Stegostoma tigrinum: one gene and its partners. The protein of the gene in region 1 purifies or fractionates together with the protein of each later gene. This does not show direct contact. Links are inferred from orthologs where the notes say so. Each region holds a gene or a part of one and is shown in the gene's direction. Other genes may lie near its edges.

Region 1 (7,011 bases):
TTTCTACCGATCAGGTATGACTTCAACCAGCAGAGTTTTCACCTGATAGCCAATGATTCCTGTTTTTCCAAACCTCCTGGATGTCATAATTGGTTAAATGTGGTTTTGATGAAAAGGGCTGTCATTTACACCTCACCCCTGGAATTTAGCTCTTTTTGAACCTAGGCTGTAATGAGGGCAGGAGCTGAGTGGCCCTGGCAGAACTCATCACTGAGCAGGTGTTGCTTGATAGTACTGTTAGTGACACCTTCCATCACTTTACTGATGATTGATAGTACACTGATGGGCCGGTAATTGGCCAGGTTGGATTTGTTCTGCTTCTTATGTACAGACATACCTAGGCAATTTTCCATATTGTTGAGTAGATGCTAGTATTGTAATTGTACTGGAATACAAATAATAGCTTGACTAGGGGAGTGGCACGTTCTGGAGCACAAGTTTTCAGTACTATTGCTTGGATGTTGTCAGGGCCCACAGTCTTTGCAGCATCCAGTTCCTCCAACCATTTCTTGATATCACATGGAGTAAATCAAATTGGCTGAAGATGGACATTGGTGATGCGGGTGACCACTGGTGAAGGCAGAGATGGATTGTCCACTTGGCAATTGTAGCTGCATCCTAATCCTTTGTGCTAATGTGTTGGGCCCTTCCATCATTGAGGATGGGAACATTAGTACAACCTTCTCCTCCACTGAATTCTGCAATTGTCTTATCACCATTCAAGACAGGATATGGCAGGACTTCGAGCTTGGATCTGATCCATTGGAACCAGAGCGGCAGGTCAGCAAGTGGAGGAATTGAGGGGAAGATAGATGTTAGGACCTGTGAATCAGAAAGAAAGGGCAGGCACGATGGTACTAATGGGCTGAAGTGTGTTTATTTCATCACACGGAGTATTACAGGTAAGGCTGGGGCGCTTAAAGCTTGGATCACTACATGGGACTATGATGTTGTCACCAATAGAGACTCAGTTTAACGAGTGACAGGAGTGGTTACTCAAATTTTCAGGTTTTGTTGTTTTAGATGAGATGAAAAGGAAGGTGAAAGAGGTGCAGTTGCATCACTAATCAGGGAGAAAGTCACATCTGCACTCAGAGGGGACATGCTGGAGGGCACATCCACTGAGGCAATACAGGTAGAGCTCAAAAATAAGAAGGGTGCAATCACTCCAATAGGATTAATACAACAGCCACCAAGACATTGAGGATCAAGTATGCAGGAAAATTATGGAAAGATACAACAACACGGCTGTCATAGTGATGACTTTAACTTCCCTAATAATGACTGAGCCTCCCTTAGAGCAAGAGACTTCGACTGGGCAGAATTGTTAAGTGCATCCAAAGGGGTTTGTGAGTGCATGGAATACTTTGCCAGTGGAAGTCGTGGAAGCAGAGTCATTAGTAACATTTAAGCGACTGCTGGACATGCACATGGACAGCAGTGAATTGAGGGGAGTGTAGGTTAGGTTATTTTATTTTTGGATTAGGATTATTCCACGGCACAACATCGTGGGCCAAAGGGCCTGTACTTTTCTATGTTCTCTGAAACAGTATGTACATAGCCTAACTAGAGGAAGGGTCATACTTGACCTTGTTTGGCTAATGAGTCTGGCCAGGTGACAGCCTTTCAGTGGAAGAGCATTTTGGAAACAGTGATCACAACTCCTTAAGTTTTAGGATAAATATGAATAAGTAAAAATGGAAAGGATGGCAAATGATACAAATCAGAAAGGAAAACAGAAGTTGCTGGTAAAGCTCAGCAGGTCTGGCAGCATCCGTGGAAAGAAATCAGAGTTCCCATTCGGGTCAAGTGACCCTCCCACAGTTCTGACGATTTATCCTCACAGATGCTGCCAGAACTGCTGAGCTTTACCAGTAATTTCTGTTTTTGTAGCTATGAATAAGTCAGGACCTTGTGGGAAGGCACTGAATTCGGGGAGGGAAAATATTAGGCAGGAGTTAGGGAGTGTTAATTGGGAGGACCTGTTATCAGGCAATCACAGATCAGCACATTCCAGTAAGGAGGAAGGAGAAGGATGGCAAGGTAAGGGACCATTGGATGACAAGGGAGATTGAGAATTTAGTTAAAAGGAAAAAAGGAAGCATATGTAAGGATTAGGAAGCTAAAATAGGACAGGGCCCATGAAGAATACAAAGAAAGCAGGAAAGGAAATCAAACAGAGAATGAGAAGAGCGGCAAGAGGCAATGAAATGACCTTGGCAAGTAGGGCTAAAGAGAATCTCAAGGCATTCTGTACAAACATTAAAAACAAGAGGATAACTTGGGAGGAGGCAGGGTCACTCAAGGATAAAGGAGGGAACTTGTGCTTGGAGGTAGAGAATGTGGGCAAGATCCTAAATGAGTACTTAGGATCAGTATTCACCCAGGAGAAGGAAATGGAAAATAGTGAGATTAGTGTGGAGCATGCTCATATACCAGGGAATTTTGAGGACAAGAAAGAAGCAGTTTGAGTTTCTTGAAGAGCATTAAGGTGGATGTGTCCCCAGGGCTTGATGGTAAATACCCAGGTAATTGAAAGAGGCAACAGGGGAGATTTCTGGGGGCCTTGACCAAGATCTTTGTCTCCTCATTAGCCACTGGAGGGCTCCTGGAGGACTAGCAAGTAGCTAATGTTCGTTCAAGAGAAATAGGGATCATTCAGGAAACTATAGACCATTGAGTCTCACACTGTTTGGGAACCTTTTTACTCGAGATTTCTTACAGATAGGATTTATATGCATTTGGAAAAGTATAGCCTAATTAGGGACACGATGTGGAGGTGCTGGCATTGCACTGGGGTGGACAGGGTCAGAAGTCACACGACAAAACCTAACCCTAACGCTTTCAGAGCGCCACTCATTCATCTGACATCCAAGTTCACCTGACAAAGAGAGGGTTAAAAAAAACTCGGGCTGTTTTCACTGCAGCAGTGGAGGCTGAGGAAAGACTTGATAGAAATCTATAAAATTATGAGATGCATAGAGTGTGTCGACGGTCAGAATCTATTTCTCAGAGTTGAAATTTTTATTATTGGGGGCATGCATTTAAGATGACGGGGGAATTTTCAAAACAGATGTGAGGGGCAAGTTTTTTTTATACACATGGAGTGGTAGGACTCTGGAACGCGCTGGTGGGGGTGGTGGTGGAGGCAGATACGATAAAGGGCATTTAAGGGATTTTTAGACAAACACACGAATTTGGTAGGAATGCGGGGATTTGTACCAAGCGCATTGGTTTAATTTAGTGTCATGTTCCTCACAATCTCGTGGGCCGAACGGCCTGTTCCGGAGCTGTACAGTTGTATGAAGTACGGGCATGGCATAGCGATTCCCCTCCCGACAGGGCTTGGTACAGATACCTCGCCGTCCGTGGACATTGAACAGCGGCAACAATCCCCGAAACCCACAACCTCACATTCACTCAAGTCCCAGATCAGCTGACTGAATGTGCCCAATGAACTGGTTGCAAAGGCGGTCCCTGTTTGAATATTTCCCGCTGACGGCCGGACAGGCCTCGGGAACCGGTGAGATAACAAGGCGAGGGGCTGGATGAACACAAAAGCTGACGTTTCAGGCCCAGAGCCTTCATCAAGAAGCTTTTCTGACCAAGGGTCTAGGCCCGAAACGCCAGCCATCCAGCCCCACACTTTGTTATCTCTGATTCTCCAGCATCTGCAGTTCCCGTTATCCCCGGGGGCGGGCGAGGGCCGGACAAGAACACAGCAGGCCAAGGAGCAGTGAACGTTTCGGCCATTCGCTGTCTTCAGGACTGGACGCGGGGGGGGGCGGGGGTAAAACCCAAAACACTGACCGCTCCTTTCTCCCAGCCCCCTGTTTGTCTACCTGGATTCCAGCGCCTGCGGTTGTGTTCGTCCCTAACGGGCTCCGGGTCCAAGCGGGCGTGTGGCCATTCGGTTCTTCCTTTCCCTGGGCTGAGGAAGGGGGCGTGTCCCGAGGTCGTGGGGGGGGGGGCACGTACAGTCAGCTGACTCCTCCCGGCCAATGGGCGGGCGCTAATGGCGGAGCTGCCCGGCTCGCGCTCGCTCGCTGCAGCCTCGGGCCCGGCCTCGCGCTCTCGCCGTTCCCTCGCTCAGAGCGCGGCCCGGCCCCGCTCGGCTTGGCCCCCATTGCGGCATACCGCCTACTAAAGTGCAGGTGAGTCCTCGGGCGGGGGGGGGTGGGTGTAGGGGAAGCGGCGATTACTCTAACTCCCACCCCCCCCCCCCGCTCACTCGCTCGCGCACACAAATCGTAGGCCTCGGCCTCTTACTGGCGGTAGCCCCGCACTCGGCCTTTAGGCCTCGGGCTCCTCATGGGCGGGAAGCTGGGTCAGGAATTGCAGTTCCCGTTGTTGTCTTGGCTTTGTCGGAGCTGCTGAGGTAGTAGAGGGCCCCCACACCCGGGATCCCGCTCTGCGCCAATAACAGCGAGCGAGGAGCCGGCTACGATGCATCTGGAGCCTGAGGTTGTTGAGGCGGGGGATTGGTGTGGGCGGCCCTTTAGGGCTGCCTTTACCAAGCAGGCCCTTTTGCCTTCTCTCTGTCCTCCCGTGCCAGTGCTGATACCTCATGTCACATGTCCCCAATTGGCCTTGTGTGCAAACTGATCCCTGTAAATGGCCTTGTCTCTGATCTGCAGTGTGTTGCAGTCTGAGGTGTGCATCCCAGTTGATGCCGTTCCCCCACCCCGAGTTAAAAGATTGGTTCTCAACTGAATCAAATCGCCAGATTTCAGTTTCCAGTAACCCTGCGCGGATCGGGTAATTTGGGAAAATTTACGAGGATCCCAAGGATTCCTCGGTTGATTGAAGACTCTCTTATAGGAAAGTGAGCAAGTAAAGCAACAGGTTACAAGATCCTTCCTGTCGAAAGTCATTTACCCTGAAGTGTGAAATTCTGCAGAACCATCTATAAATCTTATGCATGCTACAGATTGCTTAATTTTGAAGTGCAGGCATGTACTTGCGCAAAAAAAATGAACATCATTTTGGACTTATTTGTAGATTCAGGATTATATCGCAACAGGAGTTGGTCATTCAGCCTGTCAAGCCTGCCCTGCCATTCAGTGTAATCGTGGCTGGTCGAACACATGAATGCCTTTTTCCCCACCCCATCTCCGTAATCCTGTATATTACAGGTAATCAAATCTATCAGTCTCTTAAACATATTTAAAACTGGGCCTGTGCTGACCTCTGGGCATAGAATTCCAAAAGTTCAGAACTCTGTGTTTTAAAAAAAAATCTCGTCTTGGATCTAAGTGGCATTCCCTTATTACCTGCCTCTCTCAATTTGCACACTGGGTAAATGTACTGCTTGGTGTGCTATTGCTCTGTATAAACCAAGATGATCCAGGTTACATTTCCAGTCTGGGTTGAATACCTTTTCTCGTTTAGGTCAAGTTTGAGACAGTTGGCCTTTAAAACACCTTAACACATGGGAAACATCAGCCAATATTCTCAGCATTGGCTAATTTGATAACTGTCCTCTAACTAATGCTAGTGCTTGAGTAGAGAGAGAACCTGGCCGAACTATAATGCTACACATTCAGAAAACTTGTCAGTACCAACTGTCTAGGCATTGAAAAGGCGCAGTTATGCAAGATGGTGGGGATAAACTGCACCCATAGAATGATTAACATCCTCCATCCTTGAGAGAGAGAGGGAGGAGGCAGTCGAGGGATTTGGGGAAACAATAATGTAATTGTCCTGCCCAAAACAACCTGCACCCAAATCAATATTATGATGTAGAGCTTACTCATGTGGATCTGTTAAATCTAGCAGTTGGCTCTGCAGTCATGACTTATTGTTCGTTCTGACTGCAAAACTATCTCTAGTCCCAAAGCTGAGTTGATCTCATGCCGTTATAGATTTGTAAAGTTGTCCCCCTGCCTTGAGTGAATGCCATAACTCCTCTTGTCCAGCAGTATTTAAATTTGTCCTCTGTAGAGCTCCTGTGCAATTATTGAGATACTTCAGGAACTGTGTGTCCTGATTTAAGATAGTATCTACTACCTAGAGAATAGTGTTTTTGAGTTACAGTGGAAACAATGGACTTGTAGGACAATGGACGTAGAGGAACTGATGTATTATCATCCTCCTGGTGGACCCCGGCTGATTACATGTCTTGATTTTTGAAACCTTTTGCCTATTTTTAGCAAAGCCCCACTGTTCTTGATTAAGAGATAACACAGTATGGAGCCTGTGAAGGGGCCCAACCCGAAACGTTAACTTTCCTGCCCCTCTGATACTGCCTGGCCTGCAGTGCTGCTCCGGCTCCATACTGTGTTATCTCTGACTCCAGCATTGGCAGTTCTTAGTATCTCTGAGACCTTTCTTGATTTAAAATGTATTTGTGTTTCTAAATGGTCTCAAGGTAGTACAGTACTGGAGTATTGTGGACTGTTGCAGGTGCTGAATCTAGTTGAAATGTTTGAATTTTCTGTCCAAATTTGTGTAAATGCTGGTACTCGGTGTATTTCTAATGCATTGTTGTAACTATCAGTCCTACATGTGATGTCAGAAGTACTGTAATTTGGATATGCATGAAGGAAGATAACTCTTGTTAAAAATTTTCCTTTGAAATTGATCCACAAATGGATCAAAACAAAAGATGAGGACAAGGTACGGGAATGGAGATCAATTGAAATTTGTATTGTTCCAGTTTTATTCTTAGAAATGCCACAGATTCAGTTTAGTTTGAGAATTGTACCTTTGGACTGGACAATTACAAGTGTCCCTCAGTTATTTTAGAAAAGAGAGAAAGATAAACTAGGTAACTGCATATAAGGTTCTTGGGCATGTAAGGTAGATGTGAAAATTTTGTTTTCTGTATTCAAGTGATTTGGACCAAAAGGCACAATCACAGAGTAAGGAGTTGCCTAGTTAGGGCAGAAGTAGGAAGAACTTCTCCAAGGTTAATGAATATATGGAATTCTTATGCTATAGAGACTGGGTCATAAAATATAATTACAGCTGAAATCGACTGTTTTCTTTAAACAGTAAGGGGAAGCCTAT
Region 2 (7,515 bases), on another chromosome or scaffold:
CACTGTGAGGCAGCAGTGCTAACCACTGAGCCACCATGCTCTCTACTAGATAATGTTATTTATTAAAACATTATACACCATCTTCAGAAAGTGGTCCTCTGACATGTAGGATTAGTCCTGTGACCCTTCTCTGCTTGAATGTTTCCCACTCATCTTTCTGACCAAAGCTAAACACAACCTTCAACGTATGGTATGAGTGGAGTGTGTTAGCTAAAATTTTAGCTTCATGTTTATACCATTTCATTTGGCAGTGATATTCAGTATTTTGTGCCCTTTCTTCTTGATTGCTGCTCTGCAAATGACTGGATATTGTAACTGTTGATTCTCATATCATTGCTAGATATTGATCACTCTTTCTCCCAGCTAGCCCATTACCCAATTTTAAGAAAATTATAGTACAGAGATAAGTTAGTCCAATGCTAATAATCTCATATTTCATCTTTTTTGTGTCAAACCTGCCAAGAATTTCCATTAATTCTCTTCTTTGTTACTTACAACTAATTCCTTATCCACCTCTAAGATTTCCCCAAGATACCCATCCTTTTAAGGTGATATAGCAGTATTCCAACCATAGTTCAACCAAGGTGTTTGGCTTTCTGAAAGGATGGTACTCGGTATTACAGGACTTTCCATTATCAATTTGGGATATGTCACAAAGTTTCGAGGGGAAAGATTGCTTCTGGATGAACAGGTCTGGACAAACAAACAAATTTATTTAATCATTCTCTTGAAAATAGTTATTTTATTATTCAAATGTTTTTTGGATCACTAAATTACATTTGATGACATTTAATTAATATCATAAAATTTAACCTTGGAATTTAAATCTTTCAACACCTGTTTTTATGTGGTCCGGGATCAACAACAGCCTGTGAACAGAGTTGCTACAACAATAAAAGAAATAGACAATATTTGTACAGGTACTTCCAAAATATTTGAGTAATTTTCAAAAACTCCATTCAGAGAAATCAACATCTCAGCATAGAACAATTACTGAAAACAGCAGCAACAGAACAATGTAAGTAAGTGTGGATCTTAGGCATATCCTCATTGAGTATTACCTCAATTAATGAAAAATAAGTCACTTCTATTTTGGCAAAATTGAGGCACAAAAATAATGGGTTAAGTGGTCAGAAGGAAGTAAACATCTGCTGACATTCTATGTGCATGAGGCATTACCACTGTAGATTGTGATTGTTTCCAGCATGAATTATTGTGAGCATGTTTGGTACTTTCTGGAGAAAAGCCAAAGAACAACTTGTACCTTACCTGTCAATCACCAACTCAAATAGCACAATATGAGAATGCTGTGTGAACTCTGGGTCATCTTCTACATAATCAAAACGGTTCAATAAAGTAACAAGATCCAAATCACATGATGTTTTATCTGGAAACTTCCATGATGGATAGCGAACTGCACCAACTCGTGAAAATACATCTATGATTATCCCTTGTACATCTGTGACATCCTTGCGCAAACCATCCAAACAGTTTTGATTTCCTAAAAGTAGTGTCATTTTAATGGCCTTGAAATCAGAATATGAAATGCACCTTCTTATGAAAATTGAAACTGCTATTTCTGTATAAAGTATCTGAGCCTGTAATAATAACTCCACGAGGGCAATTTATCTGCAAGAAATAGAAAATAATTAGATTAAGAAAGTTGATTCAACGATTTTAAGCAAATATCACCTTTAAGTTGTAATTTAATGTAAATACAGTATTGTTTACTTTGTACTAACCTTATAAAATATCTGCTACCAGATTAAAAATATTTTCACACGACTTAATGCACAATATGATCTACAAATTATTGCAAGTATAAGTCTACATACAAAGCAGTAATATTTAATATGTTGGCAGTTGCTGTCAAAAGAATTGACAGAATTTTACACGAACCACAGTGATAATGAACGTTCATAGTTTTCCAGTAGTGCTGGTTTACTAATATCACACATGACAATAAAAATATCTGCCCAACAGCCATTACTACTAATATTTATGTTTCCTAAATGAAAGAATTAGGCATGGAATTCAATTTTTGGGTAATTTAAAAAATTATTTCCTGAAGTTAATAGTTGTTTATTAACAATAGGATTTAATGGAACTGATGGAGGGGGAAAATGCAAGTCCCTTACACCATGCTTTATATGCAGAAATTGCAACCATTCTAACAGCTTTCTGATTTATAATTCTGCAGTAGAATGTTGTATTGGAGTAATCACAATTCTGTAGCCTTGATTGAGAACAAAACCAACTACTGTTATAGATACAAAAGCATCTTGGTAATTTCTGCATCTTGCATAAATACTTAAAAAGATCCTTCTTTACATTATTTTTCTGGAGGAATTCAGTGGAAGGAGGGATGACAGAGGAAATTAGATAAGGCTCATTATTCATCGTCCAAGAAGTTGAAGTAGTTGTTTGGGGCTGACAAAGAGAAGAAAAGATTATATTTGGCAGCAGTGTCTTCTATTGTTTAAAAAAATCTGCTCACACGATGAAAGAGTCAGTTGGACGAAGAATCAACAGTTAGCATGTTCATGGGCCTTCTTGGGATTCAAATACTAGGTCGTATAGGTTTAAGGTGAGGGGGCCAAGTTTAAAGGAGATATGCGAGGCAAATTTTTATTTTTACACAGTGGGTGGTGCGTGCCTGGAATGCACTGCAAAGAAGAGTGGTTAAGCAGACACAACAGCACTGTGTAAGAGGCATTTAGACAGACACATGAACAGGCAGGGAGTAGAGGGCTAAAGACTATGTGCAGACAGATGAGAATAGTTTAGAACAGCATCATGGTCAGCACAGACATGTTGAGGCAAAGAGCCTGTTTCAGTGTTGCACAGTTCTATGTTCTATCTTCCGACATCAGGAAAGATGGACCAAAAGCAGCATTTCCCAAGTCAATTTGTCCAGCATCATGACTGATCAATTAAAACTAGCTCGATGAGGTAAGACATGTTGTTCATAGCCTGACACCAGGCTCCTGAAGCAACTGCTCTACTCAGAACTTGCTTATAAGAACATAGGAACAGGAGTAGTCCTTTGAACTTGATCCACCATTCAATGAGACATGGCTGATCTGTGGCCTAAATTCCCACATACCTATCTTTGGTCCACATCCCATTAATACCTTTGCTTAACAAAAATGTATCTACCTCAGATTTAAAATTGGCTACTGATTTAACATCAATTACTGTCTGCAGAAGAGTTCTAAACCTCTATCACCCTCTGTGTGTCTAGACGTGCTTCCTAACACCTCTCCTGAATAGCCTGCCCCTAACTTTTAGACTACATACTCCTTGTTTGAAAATTGCCAGCCAGCGGAAATAGTTTACCTTATCTATTCTGTTGCAAAAGGAAGACTGTGGAAATGCTTTAGGCAGTCCTTAAAACACCCTTAAAGAGGTCAAACATTCCCCTCGACCTGGCTTGTGTGGGAACCAAAATAAGAAGATTCATTCAGGAAATCGCTGAACACATGCAGAAACCTTGTTGAGACGAAGTCAAGGTTTTGGGTAAAACCTCCAAACGATTCCTGCACCCCCAGGCAGTCAGTCAGTCAGTCAAACAGCACCAACTTTGCCCCACATGTAACAGACTTTGCAAATGGGTGCATTGGACTGCTTGGACATTTGAGAACCAATGGAAGTGAGTCAGCATCAGTCCCAAAGCACTGCCTCAGATGGAATAGTATCTAGAGGGGAGGTTGGGGGAAGGGACATTGCGGTGGAAGGAAGAAGCACCTTGAGGAAGTTTAAGGGAAAAGCACTTCAGGAAGGAGAAGGAAACCTCAAGCAGGAGGGGGATGGAGGACGAATCACCTCGAGGAAGGGGAGGGAAACACATCCTCAGAGGGCGGGTGTGGAGAAGAGGAGCACCCCCAACGGACGTGTTTGGTCATGGTGGGGGGGGACGGGGGGGACGGCTGCATTTCAAAACCTCAAAGCACCCACGCCCCCCTCCGCATCCCACTGAGCCGAAATTTGCCCCATATTGAATAAGCAATGAATCATTCATTTGTTAGCACCAGGGTTCCAAGCCCAAGATATATCGCGGCGGCAAGAAGTGGCATGATGGGAATACGCTGGACAAATAATTTTAGGTATGAAGTCCTAGAATCAAGTTTCACCGACTCCAAAGGTGCGCCTGATGAGGTTGATTCAAACTTCGTCACTGAGCCTGTACCTACCTGCGATTGACCGTTAGCTTCACTCCGGCTGTTGACTACGTGCTGTCATGGACGCACGTAACGTAACTGTAACGTCATCGTGCGTTTACGTACCTGCTCGTCATAAGACGTAAGGACTGTGCCAGGCAAACTAACAACAAACACGAGACTTTACCGTTCAAACATAATAAAAACAGTATTATAAGAAAAGTAGTGAATAATTAAACGGTGGTGAGAGATGGAAACCGAATTAAATGTGTGGGAAGAACTTTTATGTTATGTGCATATCCCATTTCCCCCCCCCCATGAAGAGGTGGATGGTGCGGGCCGTAGCCGCCATCTTGTTTAGCCCGAGTTTTGTTCGCGGAACGGCTGGGGTGGGGGATTGCACTTCTAAACCCTGTTCGGTGCCGAAGCCATGCCGGCCGGACCTGTACAGGCGTTGCCGCCACCTCAGACTGAAAATAACCAGGTGGGTTTTAAAACAGAAAGAGGTTTCAAAAAAAAACCTTGGCCCGGTGTGGTGCCCCCCCCCCCCCCCCATCCATGCCAGAATAAGAGAAAACTGAGGCCTCCAAACCGCAGGCTCTGGGCCTGGAACTCGCATATTGGTCTTGGATCCCCGGATTCCGAGCTCGTGGCTATTATCCTTTCTCCAGGCTGTATTATCTGTTGGTTATGCAAGCTGAGTCCTGGAAAAATCTGTCAGGCGCACGATCAAATAATTCACACAAAATTAAATGCGAAAGAACTGTGGATGTTGTAAATCGGGGACAAAAACAAAGTTGCTGCAAAAGCTCAGCGGGTTTGGCAGCATCTGTGAAGGAAAAAAAGCGTTAATGTTTCTGATCCGGTGACTCTTCCTCCAAATGTGTGTAAATAATCCACACGTTGGCGGAATGTTAGTCTGATTTATCACAAGTGTCCGGTCGTTCAGAGGCAACAAGGGCTGTGTTTATCATGCATTAAAATCGGCCGTGTTGTCAGCCTGCAATCCGGATGGTTATACGTTACTTAAATAAATCCCTTCGTCCAGCCTGCACACATTCGTAAACAGTTGATAATGGGAAATACGATACTTTGAAGTGCTGAATATTGTAAAACAGCTTATGTTAAAAGACTTTAGTATTACAACTATTACTGATTACTTTTATAGCATTATGGTATTGTCATTAAAGTAGGTGCGGATAAAAGTTTATCTGTCAGTTGGACGGAGAAGATGGAGGTGAACAAAGTACACTACAGGGCACCTAAATTGTAGTCAAATTGTATATTCTCGAGTTCATATGGTCCAGATGTGCTCGATCCCAGTACAACAGTAAATAATTAGCATGGATCTTTACGGAACTAACAAGTTTTCATTTGCCCAATACAGTATAGGTAGAAAAACTGAAAAGAATGCACGTGTTCCAAGTCCAAAAATCTTAGGCAAAAAAATCCAAAAAGTAATATTGTTTGCTTTGCGGAGGGGTGATGGCAATTTATGATGAGTTAAAATTGTGCAGTCTACCATCACAAAGCACTGAAATATACTTTGCTGCTTGCCCAGGTAGACCACCTTTGTAGCATATTGACTGTAATGATATCTTCAGCTAACTAGGGAGAATTCTGTACCCCTTTGGCAGCTGTAATCCATCAATGAGACAGATTAGCATAGTGCTTTGGAGTGCTGTGCACTTGTCTGGTTTTAGTTTTTGCAGTATTTGAAAATGTTGTTCTCAGATATGTGATTTTGGAGCTGTATTAACCTGTTTACTCCAGTCCAGACCCCAGCATGATGATTGGACAACTGGTATGTCAAAACAGTTGGGGAGGTAGCGACTTCCTATAATTTACCTCAACGGCTTGGTCATCAGCATAAATTGTGCTGAAGTATATGTGCTGTTGCCATCCTAACATAGCATGAGTGTTTTTATTTCAACGAATGATGTGTTTTGGCGGTTAATTGGAACAAAAGTGTCATTTCTACAATCTGATTCTGTCATCTGCAGACATGAACTTATGATTATGATAATTTTTAAAGTCATTAAGCTGCTTAAAGATGATTAAGAATTTAGTGACACTTGTTTAATTTTCTTTTAAAGTTGCCAGAAGAAACAAAAGATGAATCTGCAACATCCAAACCCATTGTTGGTATTATTTATCCTCCTCCTGAAGTCAGAAACATCGTAGATAAGACTGCAAGTTTTGTAGCGAGGTGAGTGCTAAATTCCAACAACTGCATGTTGTATTTGCTATACTAAACCCTTTGAGTTTAAAAGTGCAAATCATTTTGCTTTGATTAGGAATGGTCCTGAATTTGAAGCTCGAATCCGTCAAAATGAGATAAACAACTCCAAGTTTAACTTCTTGAATCCAAATGATCCTTACCATGCATATTACCGGCACAAGGTTAATGAGTTCAAGGAGGGGAAAGGACAAGAACCTTCAGCTGCTATACCGAAGGTTATGCAGCAGCAGCAGCAGCAACAACAGCTGCCGCAGAAGGTGAGTAATTTGACGGTAATGATAGTTTGTAATTATGTAAATACTTCTTAACAGATAAATGTCTTGAAACATTTCACATGAGTATTAATAAATGAAATTTGACACTGAATATTCTGAGTAAATATCAGGATGGCTAATCGACAACTTGATCAAAAAGGAGGATTTTGGGGAGCATCTCAAGGGAAAAGAGAGCATTTAAGGCAGTGGCTTACAGAGGGAATTCCATACTTATAGCCTTAGCAATGAAAACATGGCTGTGGAAGGTGGAGTAATTAAGATTAGGAAAAGGAGGACAGAATTGAAGACACAGATTTTGGAGGGTGTAATGCTGTTAGAATCCTCTGAAATGGGAGGGGTGACTCCATGAAGTTATGGTGTAAATTTTATATGAAAACTAAAAATGCCGTAATTACTCAACAACACTGGCAGTATCTATGGAGAAGGAAGAAAGATTTAACATTTCAGTTCTGACTTTGAACCACCAAATTTTTATTACAATGGAGAGTGCAGGAGGGCATGCCATAAGCAGCACCAGGCATACCTAAAAATGAGGTGTCAACCTGGCAAAGCTACCAAACAGCATGAGCAGCAAGTGATAGACAGAGTTTTGTGACCCCGCAATCAATATATTAGATCTAAGCTCTGAAATCCTGCCACTTGACATCATGAATTGAGATGGACAACCAAACAACTCACTGGAGGTGGAAGCTCCATGAATATCCCCATCCTCAATGATGGAACAGCCCAGCACGTCCGTGCAAAAGATAAGGCTAAAGCATTCACAGCAGTCTTTAGCCAGAAGTGACAAGTGGATGATCTGTCTCGGTTTCCTTCAGTGCCCCCTAGTATCACAGAT
Region 3 (7,632 bases), on another chromosome or scaffold:
TGAATATTTTCAAGTAGTTATATATAGTTGTCAGGGCTAAAGGTATCAAAAGGTATAGGGAGAAACAGTTAACAGGATATTGAGCTGGGTGATCAGCCATGATTATATCAAATGGCAGAGCCAAATGTCCTGCTCCTATTTTCCTGTTTTTATTTCAAGACAGCAGCACACCACCACCACCTTGTCCAGAGCAATTAGGGATGGCAATAAATCCTGATCTAGTCAGCACTGCCTACATCCATGAATTAATTATAAATGCTTTTGCCATCAGACATTTGGTCCCCATATCCAACTCAGTGACATTGATTGTCAATAGCTGAGTCCCCAGCATTGATTCCTGTGGCACTGCACTTGTTACGAATGCCAATTCAAAAACAACAATAAATCCTTGACTTTCTGTTTCCTATTAGACAATCATCCTTTATAGTGCTAATATGTTACCACTTACACCACCAGCTCTTATTTTTTGCAGTAACCTTTGATTTGGCACCTTAGCAAATGCCTCTCAGAAATCCAAGTGCACCACATCCACAGGAATCCCTTTACACACTTTGCTGGTTTCTCTCACAGAAATTAAGAGAGACATGTTGACTCTGCCTGATTTCATTCTTGTTTCATAACTGTGTTGCTATAACCTACTTAACTGCAGATTCTAGTAATAAAAAAGTGAAGTACTGCAGATGCTTTAGATTTGAAATAAAAACAGAAAATGCTGGGGAAACTCAGCAAATCTAGCAGGATCTATGGTGAGATAAACACAGTCAACTTACTGTTTTTAATATAGTTATTTATTTTTGATTTTCTTCTTCATGGTGTTACATGAGCTATTTTCCAATCCATTGACATCCCTCAAGAACCAAAGGAATGTTAAAGATGATAACTAATGCCTCTATTATTTTTGCAGCCACTTTATTAAAAAAAAACCCAAGGATGCATGCCATCATGTCTTGAGCAATGTTTCTTCCAAGCACCGCATTTGCCAGTCATTTGAAGTTTTGCACACACCAACTGGCATGGAGATGCATTGACATCTGGTTCCAGAAATTACAACATCCTCCAATGCAATGTCCTCCAAAGTCCATGTACAGGCAGGAAAGTTTAAAGGGACCTGTCACTTTTTAGATTTTGTATTTTTCTCAGCACTTTGTTCTGGTGATGACGACTGTTTTAAGTTTCACCTTGTCTTCCACTCCTCCATTTCAAGTGTCTATGGATAGTTTCTTAGATAGATACAAAATACCTGTTTAATGACTCTACCATTTTACCGTAATCCATTATCACTATCAAATCTCTAGACTGACTCTCTGCAGGACCAATACTGGCTTTAGTTTCTCATTTTCCAATTAAAAAATTAGTTAAAAAAAACTCCTACAATGTTTTTATACCATCAGCTACATTTATTTGCTCCCTTTTTAAAGGCACTCTTTGCTGGTCTTTAAAATCTGCCAACCTTTGCAGAAATGTAACGTGTTCCTTTAAATTCGATACTATGCTTAACTTTCGTATTTACTCACAATGATTCATCTTTCTCAAACAGTCTTTCTTTCTCACTGGGATAAATATTTGCTCTGTGTTCTTAAACATCTCATTTAAATCTGCAATAATGGGAACTGCAGATGCTGGAGAATCCAAGATAACAAAGTGTGGAGCTGGATGAACACATCAGGCCAAGCAGCATCTTAGGAGCACAAAGGCTGATGTTTTGGGCCTAGACCCTTCATCAGAGAGGGGGACGGGGAGAGGGTTCTGAAATAAATAGGGAGAGAGGGGGAGGCGGACCGAAGATGGATAGAGGAGGAGATGGGTGGAGAGGAGAGTAGATGTGGAGAGGTAGGCAGGGGATAGGTCAGTCTGGGGAGGACAGACAGGTCAAGGAGGCGGGAAATGGACGTGCGACTTGAGGTTGGAGGGGATAGGTGAGAGGAAGAACAGGTTAGGGAGGTGGGGACGAGCTGGGCTGGTTTTGGGATGCAGTAGGGGAAGGGGAGATTTTGAAGCTTGTGAAGTCCACATTGATACCATTGGGCTGCAATGATGCCACCCGACGGTTGCAGGAACAGTAACTCATATTCCGCTTGGGAACCCTGCAGCCCAATGGTATCAATGTGGACTTCACAAGCTTCAAAATCTCCCCTCCCCCCACTGCATCCCAAAACCAGCCCAGCTCATCCCCACCTCCCTAACCTGTCCTTCCTCTCACCCATCCCCTCTTCCCACCTTAAGCCGCACCTCCATTTCCCACCTAGTAACCTCATCCTGCCTCCTTGACCTGTCCGTCCTCCCCGGACTGACCTATCCCCTCCCTACCTCCCCACCTATACTCTCCTCTCTCCATCTTCCGTCCACCTCCCCCTATTTATTTCAGAACCCTCTCCCCATCCCCCTCTCTGATGAAGGGTCTAGGCCCGAAACGTCAGCTTTTGTGCTCCTAAGATGCTGCTTGGCCTGCTGTGTTCATTGAGCTTCACACTTTATCATTTAAATCTGCCACTGCATCTCCTCTGCCCTCCAGTTTATTTTAGCAGGTTCTCCCTTCAAATCCAAATTAGTCACCTTTACTTATGTTCAAAACACTGGTCCTAGAACCAAACTTCATTGCTTCAAACTGAATGTGAAATTCTATTCTGATCACAGTCACCAAGAAACTCCTTTCCCATTATGTTGCTGATTAATTCTGTCTCATTGTTCATTACCAGTCAAGAACAGCCTGCTCCTAGTTAGCTGTAGAATGTATCATTATAAGAAAATGTCTCAGATATTCTCTTAAAAACTCACTTTCTTGCTTACTTTTGTCAATCTGATTTGTCCAATATACTTGCAGGTTAACGTCACCCCTAATCATTATAGTACCCTTTATATATGCCTCATATACCTGTACTCCCTATTTGCTCTGTCCCAGTGCTGTTTCACAGTCTCTGTTTGGGGGCCAATAAACTACTCCCACAACTAACCTTCTATCTTTCCAAATTTTGAGCCATACCCAAACTATACTACAACTTCGTCTTTTGAATTAAGGTCACATTTTACTTTAATGACATCCATAACTAAAAAAGCTTTGTCACCATCTTTCCCTCGATACCTGCATTTTTAAAATGCCAAATATCCCCTAATATTGAGGTCATGGCCATGATCACCTTGCAATCACTTCACTAACAGGTGCCAGTCAGGCATATTTATTTCTATTTGTGCTAACAAGTTACCCATTTTGAAGTGAATACTTAATGAAGTCAGATATGACATCTTTAAATGTGACATTTTTATACTAGTTTTGGTATTTCTGGTCTTATCCTTTAGTCTGTTCAATATGGATATTCGTGAGACCACACCTAGAGCACTTTTTTTTGCTTAGAGGGCTGCGAACCTTTGGAAATCTTTGCCCAACAAGGCTGTGAAAGCTCAGCATATTTAAGGTGGATATTGATAACAGTTCTGATTTCCAATGGTGTACAGTTATGGTAAGGGTGGTTTAGGTGTTTGATCAGCCATTGAATGTAGGGGCAAGCCGAATGGGGTGACTGGCTACACTGTTCCTATATTCCTAAATGGATGGGTTCCAAAAGTATATTTCCTCTTGTGGATGAGAGTAGAGGTGGCATTTTAACCATTTAATTTAATACAAAAGTGAGTAGAAATATTTCCTTTCAAAGAACTGTGAGGCTTTAAAAGTCTCTTCCTTTAACAGCAGTCAATGTATTAAGACAAACTGAGGGAGTTAAAAGGTACAGGAATGGGCAGGGTGGGGGGGGTGGGTGGGAAGTGTTGAAGTTACAATCAAACAAGCCATGAATGATACAGCACTTGAAGAGTTAAACTGCCCATCAACTCTTAATTCATAGATAATGGGAACGTTAGCTTTTGTGCTCCGAAGATGCTGCTTGGCCTGTTGTGTTCATCCAGCTCTACACTTTGTATACAATGAAAATGTGGTATTGACACAAGGGAGCTGATACTATATTAAACAGAAAGATCCCTGAGAATCCTGGTATATGCCAACTTCAATGTGGGACAAAGGATATTGCTTTCTTTCTTCAATCACAGCATCATTGGTGGGCGTGCAGCGTACCTACTGAACACGGACAGCTGTGGTTCAAAAACATGGCAACTCACCACCTGCAAGTTCCTACTATCTCTGAAACGACCACCTTCACAAGGATGGGCGCGAGAGGCCATTCGACCCATCGTGCCTGAACGAGCGTTATTCTGAGGAAGGGTCACTGGACCCGAAACGTTAACTCTGATTTTTTTTTTCTTCACAGATACTGCCAGACCTGTTGAGCTTTCCTAGCAACTTCTGTTTTTGTTCCGTCATTACTTACTGCCAGTTTCCTGTCCTACTACTCCAAATCCTCGCACAGTACATTACTTCAATCCATATAATCAGCCAATGCCTTCCAAAGGATCCCAAAAGAAGAGATAAATTCCCTGTTTGTAGGTTGTAGCCTGGAACATGAGGGGAGTTCGATTATTACAGTTTGCTAACTGTCGCTCATTCCCGATGACACTTTCCTTTCGGGTTTTTAAAACCATGACTGAGATACACGATGTAAACACCACTACACAACTCGCTCCGACCGCTCCCCTCCGTCCCAACCGTCCACATCCTACTCACCGGGCATGCGCCATGGGCAGTCGGAAGTATCTGGCAAGGAAGTGACGCATGAGGAGACATGGCGGACACAGCGGCAGAGCTGTTGTTTCTAGATACGTTCAAACACTCAAACTCGGAGGTAAATCCCTGCGGCCGCCTTTTTAGTCATTCATCGGGACCGGCTTCTCTTGTTGCAGCTGCTTTTGTAAATAGCGCTCGGGGTGTTGCAGCCGGAACTGGGCCTTTAATCGCGGAGACGCTGGGATCTGGCTGCGGTGGTATAGCGACCCAGGATTTGTGCCCTTTCCTCTGTTGGTGGCCCGACATAGCCTTCAAATTGCGTGGTACACACGATAGTTTCGACTTGCTAAAGTCTCCCCTACCTCCTTGTCCTCCAGTGTTGCATGTTTGTTTTGTTTCTGTTCAAGTGATAGTTCCGCCCCCTTTCCCCCACGTTGAGCCCAATTAAAGAGTTGATCTGAAAATCGGGACTAGATTTTAAAGTAGTTTCACTTGATTTGAAGGAATTGTTAGCGATTTCTGTGCAGCGCTTTCGCGGGATAACTTGATGAACGAGAATGAGATGCGTTGATTGCAAACAGTTTTTGAAACGAGAGACAGCATAAAACATTGTAAGCTATTTTAGCTTTAACTCCTTGTGTTATACACCAATTTCATTTTGCCAACTTATGTAGGGCAAATCTGAAACATTGTAGGAGATCACGTTTTACAAACCAAGAATGCTAGTGTTCACAATTTTCTCAGATGTTATGCAGCTGAATCGGCAGTAGTTGGCTAACACAGGTCCTCAAATTATAATAAGGGAAAATTAGATTATAGATTTGTACTTGTCTGCATGAAATATCTTTAGTTAGTAGATTCTGCTGCTGTTATTGGATTTAAATGTTCACGTTTGTACACAGCATGGTAATTTTTTTGTTAAAAGCTTCAGTTTCAGTAGAGAACTGAAGACAGGGAAAGTCAGAGTGAATTTGACCATTATCTTAGTTCCTGATGATAGTTGCTTTAAATATTTCGGCGTCAATTTTGATAATCAGGTTTATGTTTCAGAGGATAGTTAAGAAACTGCCATTATTGAGTGGAGCTGGAGTCACAACCAGACTGGGCAAAGCTAGCAGATTTCTTTCCCACAGCACATTGATGGACCAGATGGGATTTTGATGAAAATACACTGGTTTAATGATGTTCTTGACTGAGATGATATCTTTTTAATGTGGATCTACAAATGAATTGAATTGAAGTTGCATATGATTTCATCTCATACCTTCAAAATATTTGGACCTTAGTGTATTGCTGGGACAATTGTTGATAAAAGTATTTATTCTGTGCAGCGCTAGTAGTGTAACTGAATTGTAATATTAAAAAAATTCAAACAGCATGACTTAAACTGAATTGTTCGATTTGCAGGAAAAATAGATTTACTTTTCCTGCTAAACACAAAAGAATAAAATTATTAGTTGTAAAGTTAATTGGCAGGACATAGTATTTTGAAACACAGCAACCTAGTTATAGTTTGCCAAATGTTTCTGCTTTTTCTATGGTCTCATATTGTTGTCTGAAATTACTTTCTGCTGAAGATACTCTTTCAAGTTGAAATATGGGTGATGGTAATGCTTCATAAATCTGGTTTTCTTTTTGTGGCATTTCTTTCTGTGACCTGTACAAAGTACCAGGCTGTTATTAAGGAGGGACATTAAAATTAAGTTTGATTCTGACAGGGGTTTGGAAATTGATTGCAAATCGGAGCTGAATCTTGATATGTCTTGGAGTTGTGTCTGTGATGATCTTTAACTAATATAACCAGTTTTTAGACTTTAGACTTTGGACCTTATCAATGCCATAACTTGAACTGTACAATACTGTACTGTTTTAAATCTAAGGTAAACTTTGACCATTTTCCTAATAAGTAAATTTAAATTCAAGAATCTACAACCTTGATGTTATAGAGTCATACAGCATAGAAAGAGGCCCTTCAGCTTGCCATGTCTATGCCAATCAACAAATATCAAGTTATCCAAACCCATTTACCCTGAATTGGTCTATAGCCTACTATGTTGAGGTATTTTAAGTGCTCATCCAGATGCTTCTTAGATGTTGCGCACCTACCCATCGCAGCCATCCACTCAGGTAGTACATTCCATATTTCTACCACCCTGTGGGTGAAAACATTTTTTCCCCAGATCCCCTCTAAACCACTTGCTCCTCATCTTAAACTTGTGCTATCTGGTCTTAGACATGTCTGGCGTGGAGGAATGATTCTCACAATCTGCCCTATCTATGCCTCTCATAATCTTGTATACTTCAAATCAGATCCCGCGCCCAGCACCCCCCCCCCCCCCCCCCCCCCCCCCACAGCTTCCTCTGCTTCAAGAAAATAAACCCAGCCTATTCAGTCTCTCCTCATAAATGAGACATTTCATCCTAGGCAACATCTGGTGAATCTCCAATACAGTCATGCCGTTCTAATAGTGTGGCAACCAGAACTGCACACAATATTTCATCTGTGGCCTAAACAATGTTTTATAAAGTTGTAACAAGACTTCTTGCTCCTATATTCTACACCCCACTTAATCAAGACAAGCATCCCATATGCCTTCTTCAGCACCTTTTTTACCTGTGCTGACATTTTCAGGAATCTGTAGGCTTATTCATCAAGGTCCCTTTGTTCATTAGTCCTCTGTAGGGACCTACTGTTCATTGTACTTATTCTTCCCTTATTAGACTTCCCAAAATGCATCACTTCTCACTTGTCAAGATTAAATTCCATTTGCCATCGCTGTACCCAATTTACCACATGATCAATATCAGACAGTAGCCTAAGATTATCCTCCTCATCACCAATAACACCAATAATTTTCATGTCATCTGCAAACTTACTAATTATACCATATTCATTCACATCCACGTTGTTAATATACATTGCAAAGAGCAAGGGTCTCAACACTGAACCCTGTGGAACACCACTGTTCACAAGCTTCCCAGTAAAAAAAAATCTTCCACCTTTACCCTTTGCCTCCTATTTG

What was found. The genes of interacting proteins can lie anywhere in the genome.
Region 2: the proteins of zc3h18 (region 1) and sf3a1 purify together in Homo sapiens (affinity purification with mass spectrometry; 3 studies listed by BioGRID and IntAct, with this or other methods). This does not show direct contact. The link is inferred for Stegostoma tigrinum from reciprocal best matches to the Homo sapiens genes ZC3H18 and SF3A1.
Region 3: the proteins of zc3h18 (region 1) and virma purify together in Homo sapiens (affinity purification with mass spectrometry; 3 studies listed by BioGRID and IntAct, counting the BioPlex papers as one, with this or other methods). This does not show direct contact. The link is inferred for Stegostoma tigrinum from reciprocal best matches to the Homo sapiens genes ZC3H18 and VIRMA.

What each region holds. Positions count from the first base shown.
Region 1 is NC_081369.1:66,842,993-66,850,003, reverse strand, and holds the start of zc3h18 (zinc finger CCCH domain-containing protein 18), read left to right. Parts: upstream 1-4,008; 5' UTR 4,009-4,154; intron 4,155-5,001; exon of another isoform or gene 5,002-5,135; intron 5,136-7,011.
Region 2 is NC_081379.1:23,031,530-23,039,044, forward strand, and holds the start of sf3a1 (splicing factor 3A subunit 1), read left to right. Parts: upstream 1-4,499; 5' UTR 4,500-4,590; coding exon 4,591-4,644; intron 4,645-6,256; coding exon 6,257-6,369; intron 6,370-6,457; coding exon 6,458-6,659; intron 6,660-7,515. Other genes in the region: ccdc157 (coiled-coil domain-containing protein 157), read right to left, coding at 1,270-1,517. UniProt on the Homo sapiens protein: Component of the 17S U2 SnRNP complex of the spliceosome, a large ribonucleoprotein complex that removes introns from transcribed pre-mRNAs.
Region 3 is NC_081358.1:91,435,402-91,443,033, reverse strand, and holds the start of virma (protein virilizer homolog), read left to right. Parts: upstream 1-4,616; 5' UTR 4,617-4,667; coding exon 4,668-4,727; intron 4,728-7,632. UniProt on the Homo sapiens protein: Associated component of the WMM complex, a complex that mediates N6-methyladenosine (m6A) methylation of RNAs, a modification that plays a role in the efficiency of mRNA splicing and RNA processing.